Caenorhabditis elegans: one gene and its partner. The protein of the gene in region 2 interacts with the protein of the main gene of each other region in a biochemical or structural test. Each region holds a gene or a part of one and is shown on either strand. Other genes may lie near its edges. The genes, in order: par-3 and pkc-3.

Region 1 (5,066 bases), on a different chromosome or scaffold from region 2:
CTACAGTACCCATTCATGTACGAGAGGGCCCGAAGCTGCACCATAAAAAGGCATCGAGCACGGGTAAACTGTGAGAACAAGAAGAATACAGGATGACTGTACGGAATGACTCATATCATTTATGTGTGCTCTTCGCTCCAAGACCCCCCAACAAGTAAGCCACGGTGGGGTTGCGCAAGGGCATCAAGAAGAGGAGCGGCTGAGAAAAAATGACGACAATCATCAGATCGAACGACAAATAGAAACAGAAACACTCGGAAGAGAAGGGAAGAGAGATAGAAAGGGGAAGATGTCTATATACACATCATTCCTAACCATTTCTTCTTATCTTCTCAATAGTTGGTAAAATGTCCATGATATTTGTTCTCGTCGCGAACAACAACAACACAAGCTGTTTATCAGTAAAGAAAAATACAAAAACCACCCGAAAAAAAGCTGCTTTCAGAACAGATGATTCGTAGTGGCAGCGGAGGATGGCGATAACATGAGATATGAGTGTTATGACATTGCATGTAGAATAGGGGGTGCTTTATTTCACGATGATGGCGAGGAGAGAGAGATAGAGATAGATGAACAACTTTAAGTGCTGCCAATTCACATGTTCTGGAGCTATTCGGAGGCCTTTGGAGTCAAATACAATAAGTTTGAAAGGAACAATAATTCAAGGTTTTCACATCACAATTTTCATTTTTCAACTGAAATTCAAAACTTCCACAATTATGAATAACGCCAAAGTTGTTCACAATTTTTGAATTGAAATTCAAAACCGAACAAAAACATTCCAAGGTGACTCACCATATTTTTTTAGTCACACGAAAACTTTGAGTTCTGTTCAATTTTCTTTTCGGCTGGGACTAAACACAGCTTTACATGTTACATGACCATAAAAACTGGATCAAATTAGTAAATGGAAAATTTATAAAGTCTGATACGGCTGAAAAAAAAACTCCTGCCTTTGAACCGTGCTCATCGTAATATCAAAAGTGTAGGCGGCGGGTTTAAAACTGGCGCCCAACTTCCTAACAAAACACTAATTTCTGCAATTGACTCACACTTTCTACTCGTACTCCTATTACACAACGTCCAACTATACATTCCATTTGATTAATTTCAAGTTGGTTGTTGCTGCTGATAATGATTATATCGTCCTCAACGTCAAATAAATCTAAATCAACAAAACTGAGAGAGAGAGAGAGAGAGAGATAACAAATCTTAAGCCTTCGAATAAATTCTTATCAGATTTATTTAGATCAACTGCCTGCCTACAGCGGAAAACTTAATTTACTGCGAAACGAATGCTACAACCTGCGCGAACAGGAAGCATGATGATCGACGACGATGATGATGAGGGGGAAGAGATTCGTACAAAATCCGCCATGAAGTGAACATGGTGAGAGACCAATGCATGTTATATAAACAAAAATCTACCAAGCGCGTCGAAATCAATCCGTTTATTGCAAATTGCAAAATCCAATCGGGACGAGGCGACGGCCTCCGGAATTTCCATGCCGCACAGCGTACGCCGATTAAAGTCAAATTCGACCAGAATCCATTTTGGAAATTAATCCCTCTTTGGCTAGGATTCGCTAGTTATGGTTGGTGGTCCAAGAGGAGAAAATTGCCTTCAATTTGTAGAGATTTTCAAGAAAATGAAGCGATCATTGGATATTCAATCAAGATAAATGTTTTACTGCTTAGTAAATATAAATTGGGATGATAACCACTAAGTCTTAATGTTTAAAGTGAGAAGATCAGGAGTAACTAAATAAAAATCCAAGAGCACCACAGTTCAACTCCACAAAATAGTAAAACTTTTTGACAGTCACTTATGAGAGAGAATGAAGAAATATCTATTATTTACAGTGTTGTGTGCCAACAACACACTGTAACACTGTCTGCGTCTCTTCCAAACTTTCTTTTTCTCCAAAGCGGAAAAGGAAGGGGATTATTTGGTGAAAATGAACAGAGAAATGGTATTCAACACATCCTCATCGGTGCGGCCTTGTTCTCAGCCGAATTAACCTCTCCGAGAAAACGAAAGGGGGCTGCTGCTTCTTCGGGAATGGAATAATATTGGAAGAGAATAAGACGAAGATAAAATTGCGTGCTTCTTGTTGATTTTCCTTTCATTATTCCCGACTGACTGTATTCATGGGAAAATTTGGGATACGCTTTTTTGCCTCCAAAATGACCTTTTTTCTGCAAATTTTTGGAGAAAAAAAATTACCATTCCCCTCGCTTTTTTGTACCGAAGAAGTGCTGCGTCTGCTAGTTGACCAACTGTCTGATCCTGAACAAGAAAAATATTAAAAAATTGATTGAACATTTGAAAAAAAAGCTCACCGATTCCTTCCATGGTACCACAATTTTCATTCGTCCAAATTGAACAGTGACTCGGCGAGTTCCATTCAGTGGAAGCGATTGATATTGGCTCTGAAAAATTAAAATATTGCTTATAATTATAAATTACAACCAAGGTTTCAAATATTCAATGGATTTCACATTTTTTAAAGTAAAAAATAATTCCAGATTTCGGTGTTATAATCGAAAAAGCCAGAAATTTCAAATTTGAAAAGGATCTTAAACTTTCCAACTCAAAAATAGAATGTGTACAAAATTCGGATTTTGACTTAAAAATTTGAATTTACAAAATCATTTTAAAATGCGCATTTTTGCAGTATGAAAATTTGCAGAAATGGAATTCTCAGCAGTTCAAGCATTTTTTTGAAACAAAAATCGGGTAGAACTGTTGACAGTTTGAATTGAAGATTTCTGAAGCGTGAATGAAAGATAATTCAAGATTTTTTCTCCAATTTTTAAGAAAAAAAAACTTCCGCACTCTATCAAGTGTAGATATTGAGGAATTCGCGTAACCACTCGCAATTCCGTACTGTTGCATTCGTTTTTTCAGTGTCGATTCACCCTCGTCGCTGCTTTTACAGCTTCCCGATGGTTCGCCACCTTCCGGACACGATGTGCTAGATGATGACGTGGATGAAGCCGACATGATGATCGATCTGAAAATGAGCAGATATAAAGAAAAATTAAATGAAATGAAAAGAAGTTTTAACAAACCAATCAACGTTTCTCCTCCCGAGAGGCTCTCTCGTTTCGCACCTATTTGCTCTGCGAGACCTTTTCTATCTGCAAGAAAATATATATTAGAGTGATAAGAAAATGATTGGTGTGTCTGTGAAGTAAGTAACAGTAAGAGAGAAAGAGCAAATGATTTAGTGTGCTCAGCGATGGAAAAAAGTTTGAATTTAGCGGGAAAACATTAAAATCTTAAAAATTTGTCCGAATTGCCCGCGCCAATTTTAAAAGGATACAAAAATTAGCTTTTTAGTGATTTTATTCTTGAGTTTTCAAATCTGTAATACAAAAAATTCAGCGTTTTAAGTTTTGTTTTTGCGCAGACAAATTCAGCTCGAAAAACAATATTCTGAAAAAAATCGGCCCGATTTCCGATTTCAATCGGATTTTTTCGTGTTTTCAAGATCTGAATAGCTTAATTGATCTTCTGGACGAGAATTAGTTGACGGAATGAGAAAAAACTCAAAATATCGCACATAAATCAATAGACAATCTAAAAATTTGAAGTTTTTGCAGATTTTAATTTTCAAAAAAAATTTCCCGCCATGCGATAGGTCTCGCCGCGAATGCGTACCGTACCCATCTGTTCCGAAAAATGATTACTGTATTTCTCAATTTCACAAGTCTACAAATTTTTTTAAATTTTATTTAAGAAAAAGCGGCCTTAAAACTGAATTCGCAGTCATCGCATTGCTCATCGCATAGCTAAATAATAAATGAATTTTTGATATCAAAACAAACAATGAAACCTTTGCTGGGAAAATGGGAGGACATTTCTGGAAGACAGAACGGGAGGAAGGTGGTTATCCAATTACATTTTTGGATTCTCTCTACTCTATTTTCTCTCTCAGTGCTCACCAAGGATTTCCAAATGTGCCTATTTTATTTCCACTTGGGCAATTTGTCAAGTGGAGAAGTCACACAGAGGATCCTCTAGAGAAGATGATGATCCATTATAATGAGCATGTTGGAGGAGACGAGTTTTTGGAAGAACACCGAGTTGTGCTGGGATGGATTTGTAAAAAAACAGGAAAGACTTGAAAATAAATTGCTCTACTTTTTGGGGAAAATTCAATTTTTCTTGGATTCGGAAAACCTTATTGTCGGTTTGTGATTTAAAATCAGACGCGGAATTTTGCGTTTTTCCAAAAATACGATACGAAAATGTTTTGTTAAATACATATATGTGGGGAACGCTATGAAAATTCAATGAAAATTCTTGAGCAACGAAAGTTTGAAATTACAGTACTCCTTAAAGGCGCAACCCTTTTCGCATTTAACAACAGTTTGTCGTGTCGAGACCGGGTACCGTATTTTCGGCGTAAAATAAACTAAAACCGACTATAGGTCACATATTGTGTACCATTACACTTTCTGATTGGCATTTTCCTAATGTAAAATGTCAAAAAAGAGAAGGTTGAGTCAGTGCGCACCAGCTGTATTGCACAAGAGTTAGAGAGCCATCACCTCATTGCATATGCCAACTTGACGCCACGACACACATATTTCATGAGATGGATTGGAGAAGCAAAATGACAAATTATAGTCGTGTCAATAAGTTATATGAAGTGGGTGCTGTCCCGACTATTAGTTGAGCTGGCAAACGACGAAATGAACAGAGATTGGCGCAGCGGTGCGCGATTGGATATTAGAAAAACAGTGAGTTACCAGCGGAGCTCGCGCGGCTTGTCAAATGCTCGGAGAGCCTGAATGGAAAAGCTCAAACTGAACAATCAACTTTTTGCACTTTTCTACGATTGCTTTTCCGAAAGTTTAAAAATCTACAAGAAAGATATTTTTAATTGCCTTTTATCGAAAAAAAAAGAGCAGGCGAGGTATTGCCATCGACGTTCATACCTCAACTTAATGTCAATGAGACTCATAGGTCCGATTGACCGAGACACTATTTGTGTAGAGGTATGCATGAATAACACCGTCTCTCCTCTCTTCGCCGACTGACCTTGCTCGGTACT
Region 2 (6,916 bases):
AATTTATTATGGATTTCGAATAGTCGTGATTTTAATTTGATGGGTCTTGCCACGATATGAATTTTGCAATAGCTAGTAATTTCTCACATGGTCATCCGTAGTATCTGCGTGCAAAAACACGACTGTGGGTCCTGGCGTGAGTGAACATTTCCAGCAACAGTACCTTTTACTTTCAATCTCTATTTTGCAACATTTTCTCAATATTTTGTGTGGTTTTATAATGATGTTTCTAGAAAATATATGCATATTTTCAAAATGAATACATTGGGAAACACGGAGTTGAGAAAAACACGCTGGGTTACTGTAGCAGAAAAATGCCAGTCGTGTCAGGACCCTTCATAACTTTTCAGAACGATGGGAGATCTACTTTCCTGCCTTTGCTATACACTTGAAGTATCATTCTTCTCTTATCGCCATACAGACTCTTCTGGAAATGGAATACAACATTGTACGCCATATCTTCAATATAAATGTAGGTTTTTTTTCAGTGATTTCCTACTGTAACTTGGTTCAATTTTCAGATGAAGCTCTCGGCGAGGCATTTTGCAGAGCACTTCTCAACTTCTATGAAGCCGACTGTGGACTACGAGAGATTGTGCTCGAACGTCCCTTTAAGACTTTTCTACCCGCCCGCGCCCAGAAAACTTTGAAAAAGCAAGCGAGGAAGGTGATTCAGACTGTGATGATGAAATGAATTGGCGCCCACATTAGAACTGATAAAGACCATTGAAATGCAATTTTTTTTTGTTTGTCAATAAATAAGTAAGGGAAGTGGTCAAATGGAAGAACATGTAAATTGAATTGAAGTTAAATCGAGTTCCACACGTGGCACAAAAGAAGTGTCAGATGGCGAAGAGACTACATTGATCGTAGTCTTCGCCGCAATTTTACATATATTTCAGGGAAATGAATGAGCTGACAAGAAAAGTAACAAGAAGGTGTATTTAGAAGGGGAGGTCATCAAGCATTAGGTATTCCTAGCAAGTATGAATAGTCTAGATTTTAACAGAAACCAAAAAAAATCACAACCTTTTCGGGATTGTAAGATACCACAAGACGAGTAGAAGTGATTGTTGCGAGAAAATGTATAACAGATGTTGAGAAAAAGAAAATAAGTTAGGATACTGATTATGCCACGAGTTAGTGTGTCATAGTATCGTATAAGACAGTGGGCGAAGGAGATGGGATTCGAGAATAATAATAAAAATCACAAAAAAGTATACCGAAGAAAATAAATATTTGGGACTCGGGGGATGGTGGGGGAATCAGACTGAATCTTCCCGACTCATTTGTAGAGGATTCACGTATTCAAATCCATCAAATTCTGATTGATCAATTCGTGCAATAACATCTGGATTGTCAGGTGATAATTGTGGAAGTTCGTCGGTGAACTGAAAAAAAAAACAAGCATTTTGAATTAGTTTTAAAATATTTTGATTCAATAATTTATTAGTAAACAAAAACTAATTTTTTTTTAAAGTTAAGTTCTGAAGAAATTAAAATTACCTGATGATCAAAGTGTGTCAAATCGCGATCACTTTCCACAGCTGGATGATATGGAGGTGCGACAGCCTTCTGTTCCAAAGCTTCCCAATCAATGAATCCACGGAAGAATTGATGTTCTTTCATATCACGAAGACCTTCATTAATGTCAAGCTTACATCCCAGACGTTCTGTTGGATCCTTGTTCAGGAATCCCTTTAGAATACCAGAAGCCCGTACAGAAAGTGATCTAGGGATTCGAATCTGTCGTTCAAGAATGATTTGGAAAAGATAATCTTCTGTATTTTCCTCGGAATTCTGCATTCCAACAATATCGAATGGAGATCGACCAGCCATCATTTCAAACCTAAAACGATTTAAATAAAATAAATGTTCAACCAAAAAAGGCTTACATTAACACTCCCAATGCCCACCAATCAACACTGAATCCATATTCATCACCTCTCAATATTTCTGGTGCAATATAATTGGGTGTTCCACAGAAAGTTGAAGTTAAATCTCCATCCTTAATATTCTCTTTACACATTCCATAATCTGTCAGTTTTATGTGTCCTTCAGCGTCAATCAGAACATTGTCCAATTTGAGATCACGATAAATGATTCCGCGAGAATGAAGGAAATGAAGAGCAAGAATTATTTCACCCGAATAGAATCGAGCGTGCTCTTCTGGAAGCTTCCGTTGCTGTTGCATGTGGAACATCAGATCACCTCCAGGAACGAATTCGATGACAAAGAACAGGCGGGATTCGGTCTGAAATTATCAAAATTTTGGTTTAAAATTTTTAATGCGAAAATTTGAGATTTGAAAAAATCGAAGAAAAAGAAAGTTACCAACCTGGAAGCAAGAATGTAATCCAACAAGGAATGGATAATTTGACGCTGCTTCGAATACTGACTTCTCCGTCTGTACCCAATCGATATCTTCATCTTCATTGAACATCTCCTTTTTGATAATTTTTATCGCGTAAATTTGACGAGTTGAAACATGTTCTGCTTGCACAACTTTTGCATAAGATCCACGTCCAATAACTGTTAAAAGACGGAAATCGTTCAGAGAAACTGCCCATTTTGACGACCCATTTCCATTCTGAAATATTAAAAAATTTTAGTATTTGAATCTATGTAACTTTAAAAATACTTTTCGCCGTTTCTTTTTATCTGATACTGGGAAGCACTGACAGAAAAGTGCCATACGTTGAAATATTAAAATATTTTGATATCAGGAAGAAATCAGAATTCGCAGCGAGGAAGGGAATTGTGGTTGGAAATGAATAAAAATTTTGAGAGCAAGAGAAAGAGTGAAACTACAAAAACTTGTTCATCCAAAAAAAAACAAAAAAATGTAGTTGAGTCTAGAAATCTAGAATGTTTTTCAAGAGTTACATATATCACGTATCTAGAAATTTGAAATTGAAATTGCAACAGGAAGAACCTAATATTTAATTGAACTTTGGATTAAACTTAATTAAATATTTCAATTAACTACCACTATTTCAAAGACTTTCCAATTTAAATTGTTTTTTTTAACAAGAGTTATTTCATTTTCAGCTATTGTAAATCTGAGACTTTTCAGATGGTTTTATTTAAATAAAAGTTATGTTTTTTTGGAAATAAACTAATAAATTTCAAAAAAAATTAACTTTTCTGAATATTAAATTAAATTTATTACGATCCCTCGGAGACGTGAAGACAAAGATATTTATATCAAATTTCAAATATATTTTATTTCAAATTTTGGCTCCAACTTCAAAAGCTTACCATAGCTCTGCTAGCATCATGACTCGTGGATCCGGGTGATTCGATTTCGTGCTCGTGGAATGCTCCGTTATCAATTCCTCCACCCGACCGCGTTGTAGATGAGCTTGTATTCGATCGAGCACCCTTTAGAGAACCACTTGCAGGAGCCATTGGGATAATATTCGGGCCTTGGAGAGCCTGAAAATGATTTAGATTTTTATGAGGAATTTAAAAATTTAAGCTTTAAACCTGTTTTGCACAGAAATTTGTAAAAATTGAAAAACAGAAGTCTGGGAGGTCTTAGTTTCAAAATTTTGGAATAATTTAGAAGCTATCCTCGCTACAAAAAAAAAGAATTACCTGACCACAATGCGTTCGCACATGCCGATGGCATTTTTTGTGCACGCATAAACGACAATCCACACATCGAAAGCCTTGCCGTCCAATTCCCCATATGTAGTCATGACAAATAAAGCATTGAATACGGCTGAAAAGAAAGAAGCTCCGGAGGCTGTAAATCAGAAAAAAAAACCTACCGATTCAGCCGTTTCGCTTGGAATCGATGCCCATTGTACAGATAAATTTTCTTCCATCGTCGAGCACCTCTTCGATATACAGTTTCTGGAAAAAAAACATTTCTCAGACTCGAAAATTTCCGATTTTTCCTCCGACAAATTTCTTGTTAAACGCGAGAAATTGTGTGCCTTTAAAGATTACTGTAGTTTCAAACTGCGGAAGTTTGATCTATTTTCCAAAATTCCAAAATTTATGTGTTTCTAATTGTTTCATTTCAATCTTTTTATAAAAATTGATAGAAATTCCGCTTTACAGTATTCTTTGAAGGCGCACATTTTTTCGAAATTCTAAATAATTTTTCTGATAGCTTCATGATACTTACTGTCTTCTCCTTGACACGGAAGCCCGGGCAGCTCTGGTTTTCCAACAAAAACGTGAATGTTCAACTCGGCTTCTTGACTAGAATTCAAACATCGAACTGCTTCATCAAGTTCCATTTGTGAGTCTATTGAGATTGGATCTCCATCTTCATCAATCCATTTTACAGTAATATCTTGTTTTTTGTGTTGTTTACAAGCATCTTTCAAAAGTGCAAAAAAGTCATCGAGAATGAGCGGTGGTCGAGCATAGAGTACTACTACCTGGAATTTAATTTTTATTAAAATTTGGGAGTCTGGAATTTTTCAGATTAAAAAAAAAAAGTTATACAGTAACAAAAATTATTTTTCAATTTTGCAGAATTTTTAAAAAATCAGTGGTTGTTTTTTTTTAATTTTAGCCGGAAAAGAGCTTTTTAAGTTTTAAACACTATTAATCAAATCATTAAAAGTTCAGAAAAATTAATTTTTTACAGTTTTATTCGGTTATCACGGTCTTTTTCTATTTTTTGTCTGGAATTTTCTCTCTGTTACGAATTTTTAAAGCTTTGACAAACTAAAATTTCGCATTGACGGCGAAATGATTTACACATTCTCACTGCAACGAAAAATTCATTTTTAGGGTATTTCTCGATTTTTGAGCATTTCAAAAGCCACTTTTCATATCTCACCTGTCCTTGAAACCTCGTTTTTAGCTTAATATCTCCGTCCTCCTCTAATGATGTCGGAGACGACATTCTGAAATAAAAATTGAACTAAAAACGGTTCAAAAAAAGGAGTTCTGAACGAAAACTGCGAAACTGAAACAGTGACGAGTTGGCAGTATTAGAGTAAAAAAGGGAAAAATGACTCATGAATAAACATGCACATACACACACACACACTGTTATAGCTATATATGCATTGACGCTCTATCGAACACCCCCATTTTGTCCAAGTGTACAGGTCAGTGAGAGCGGCCCAGCTTTGAAGAGGCATAGAGAAATGAATAATCACAGGTGACCCTCACAAACACTGTACAGGACGACGATGCGCGCGCACCGACTAACACGGGCGGTCTAGGAAAGTGACAAAAAAGTAACAGAGAGAGAGTCTCGACACATATTGTTTGTTCCTGAACAGAAACAGTTATATTCGAATACCGAGTTTATTTTACGGTTATCAAGCAATTTCATGAATTTCAGAATTTCAGTATCAAAATGAAAAATGAGTATAAATAAACCGTTCAGATAAATACTAGGGATACGGGGGAAATTAGAGATGTAAGACATTTAGTGCTTCTTGAAGTACTCTTGGCTTTCTTTGACTCCTGGCTTGATGGTGTCGGATCCTGGAGTCCATCCAGCTGGGCAAACCTCTCCGTGCTTCTCGACGAACTGGAAGGCCTGAACAAGACGAAGAGTCTCATCAACAGAGCGTCCGACTGGAAGATCATTGATGGTGATTTGACGGAGGTTTTGTGATGGGTCGATGATGAAGAGTCCTGAAATTTTATTTTTCAAATAAAGTACGAAAATATGAAGGATTCCATTCAGAATATAACTCACCACGGAAAGCAATTCCTTCGTCCTCCTTGAGAACTCCGTAATCACGGGAGATTTGGTGGTTGGTGTCAGCGAGAACTGGAATGTTCATCTCTCCGAGTCCTCCGTGCTTGCGTGGCTGGTTGATCCATGCCAAGTGAGAGAAGACAGAGTCGGTGGAAGCGGCGAGCACAACGGTGTTGATAGCCTTGAACTCCTCAGCACGGTCAGAGAAGGCGATAATCTCGGTTGGGCACACGAAAGTGAAGTCAAGTGGGTAGAAGAAGAGCACAACGTATTTTCCCTTGTAGTCAGAGAGCGAAACATCAACGAACTCGCCATCAACGACGGCTTGAGTCTTGAATTGTGGAGCTGGCTTTCCGATGAATGCTTTCGACATCTAAAAATTAATTAGTTTAACAAAAAAAAATAATACCGCGATAAAATAACAACCACAATCACAAGAACAACAATACGACAAAAAATGAAAAGGATATTGAAACCCAACGGCAACGAATTTGTTTGCAATGTGAAAAGAAGGAGAATAAGGTGACGGGCGGTGCTTATCTAATGGGAATGAAATACATTGGCAAAATTGGAGAGCGACGAAAGAAAAAAAATCGGAGGACGAAATGAGAACTAATAAAACATTCTGGGAACATCTTTGAAAAACCAAATTAATTGTTATAAAAGTGAGTGATCATGTTAAATAACAGAAATCGAGGGGTTTAAACTTTTCCGTGATTTAAATTAATATCTAAGTAACCAAATATATTTTTAAAAAACAAATAAGAAATGCACCTTTGGAGCGAGAGACATGATTTCACACTGCAATTTTTAATAAACATTTCTTTGCATCTTCCAAGAAACGAAATAAGGTCAGTCTTTTTATAACATTGCCACAAACTTTCATCATCATGTGACGCGATTTTTGCTGACAATTGTCGCGGCAGGGAGTAACAGACTACAACGTTTAGGAGGAGCGAAAATCTTAGGGTTCAAGGTCACTTTTAAAGAAAATTCAAATATTATTACCTGTCTATACATCTTGGCGCAGAGTTTTAGAATTTCAGCTGGTCGAGCAGGTCTTAGAATTCGAATTCACTATTTATCTTAAATTTAGCTGATCGATTCTATCTCTCATTTGGCTAGCGTATTCTTCCCCGGTTGCTATGGCTTCCTAGCAAGCTTTCATAAAAGTCGAAAATAACCTGAACTCGCAGACAAGATTGCAAAAAAATGTGGAGTATTTCAACGGGC

What was found.
Region 1: of the proteins of pkc-3 (region 2) and par-3, one has a biochemical effect on the other in vitro, tested with the Caenorhabditis elegans proteins (one study listed by BioGRID).

The regions. Positions count from the first base shown.
Region 1 is NC_003281.10:5,662,313-5,667,378, reverse strand, and holds the start of par-3 (PDZ domain-containing protein), read right to left. Parts: upstream 3,147-5,066; 5' UTR 3,076-3,146; intron 3,018-3,075; 5' UTR 3,008-3,017; coding exon 2,840-3,007; intron 2,434-2,839; coding exon 2,344-2,433; intron 2,291-2,343; coding exon 2,228-2,290; intron 1-2,227. UniProt on the Caenorhabditis elegans protein: In cooperation with pkc-3, required for establishing cell polarity and regulating spindle orientation in the early embryo. Localization is crucial for recruiting par-6 and pkc-3 to the peripheral apical cortex and restricting par-2 to basolateral surfaces.
Region 2 is NC_003280.10:5,377,982-5,384,897, reverse strand, and holds pkc-3 (Protein kinase C-like 3), read right to left. Parts: upstream 4,872-6,916; 5' UTR 4,871-4,871; coding exon 4,805-4,870; intron 4,398-4,804; coding exon 4,139-4,397; intron 3,862-4,138; coding exon 3,777-3,861; intron 3,728-3,776; coding exon 3,601-3,727; intron 3,439-3,600; coding exon 3,262-3,438; intron 2,591-3,261; coding exon 2,339-2,590; intron 2,255-2,338; coding exon 1,896-2,254; intron 1,850-1,895; coding exon 1,507-1,849; intron 1,392-1,506; coding exon 1,266-1,391; 3' UTR 729-1,265; downstream 1-728. Other genes in the region: ccpp-6 (Cytosolic carboxypeptidase 6), read left to right, coding at 351-472, 522-694; Peroxiredoxin prdx-2, read right to left, coding at 5,405-5,616, 5,681-6,056, 6,458-6,475.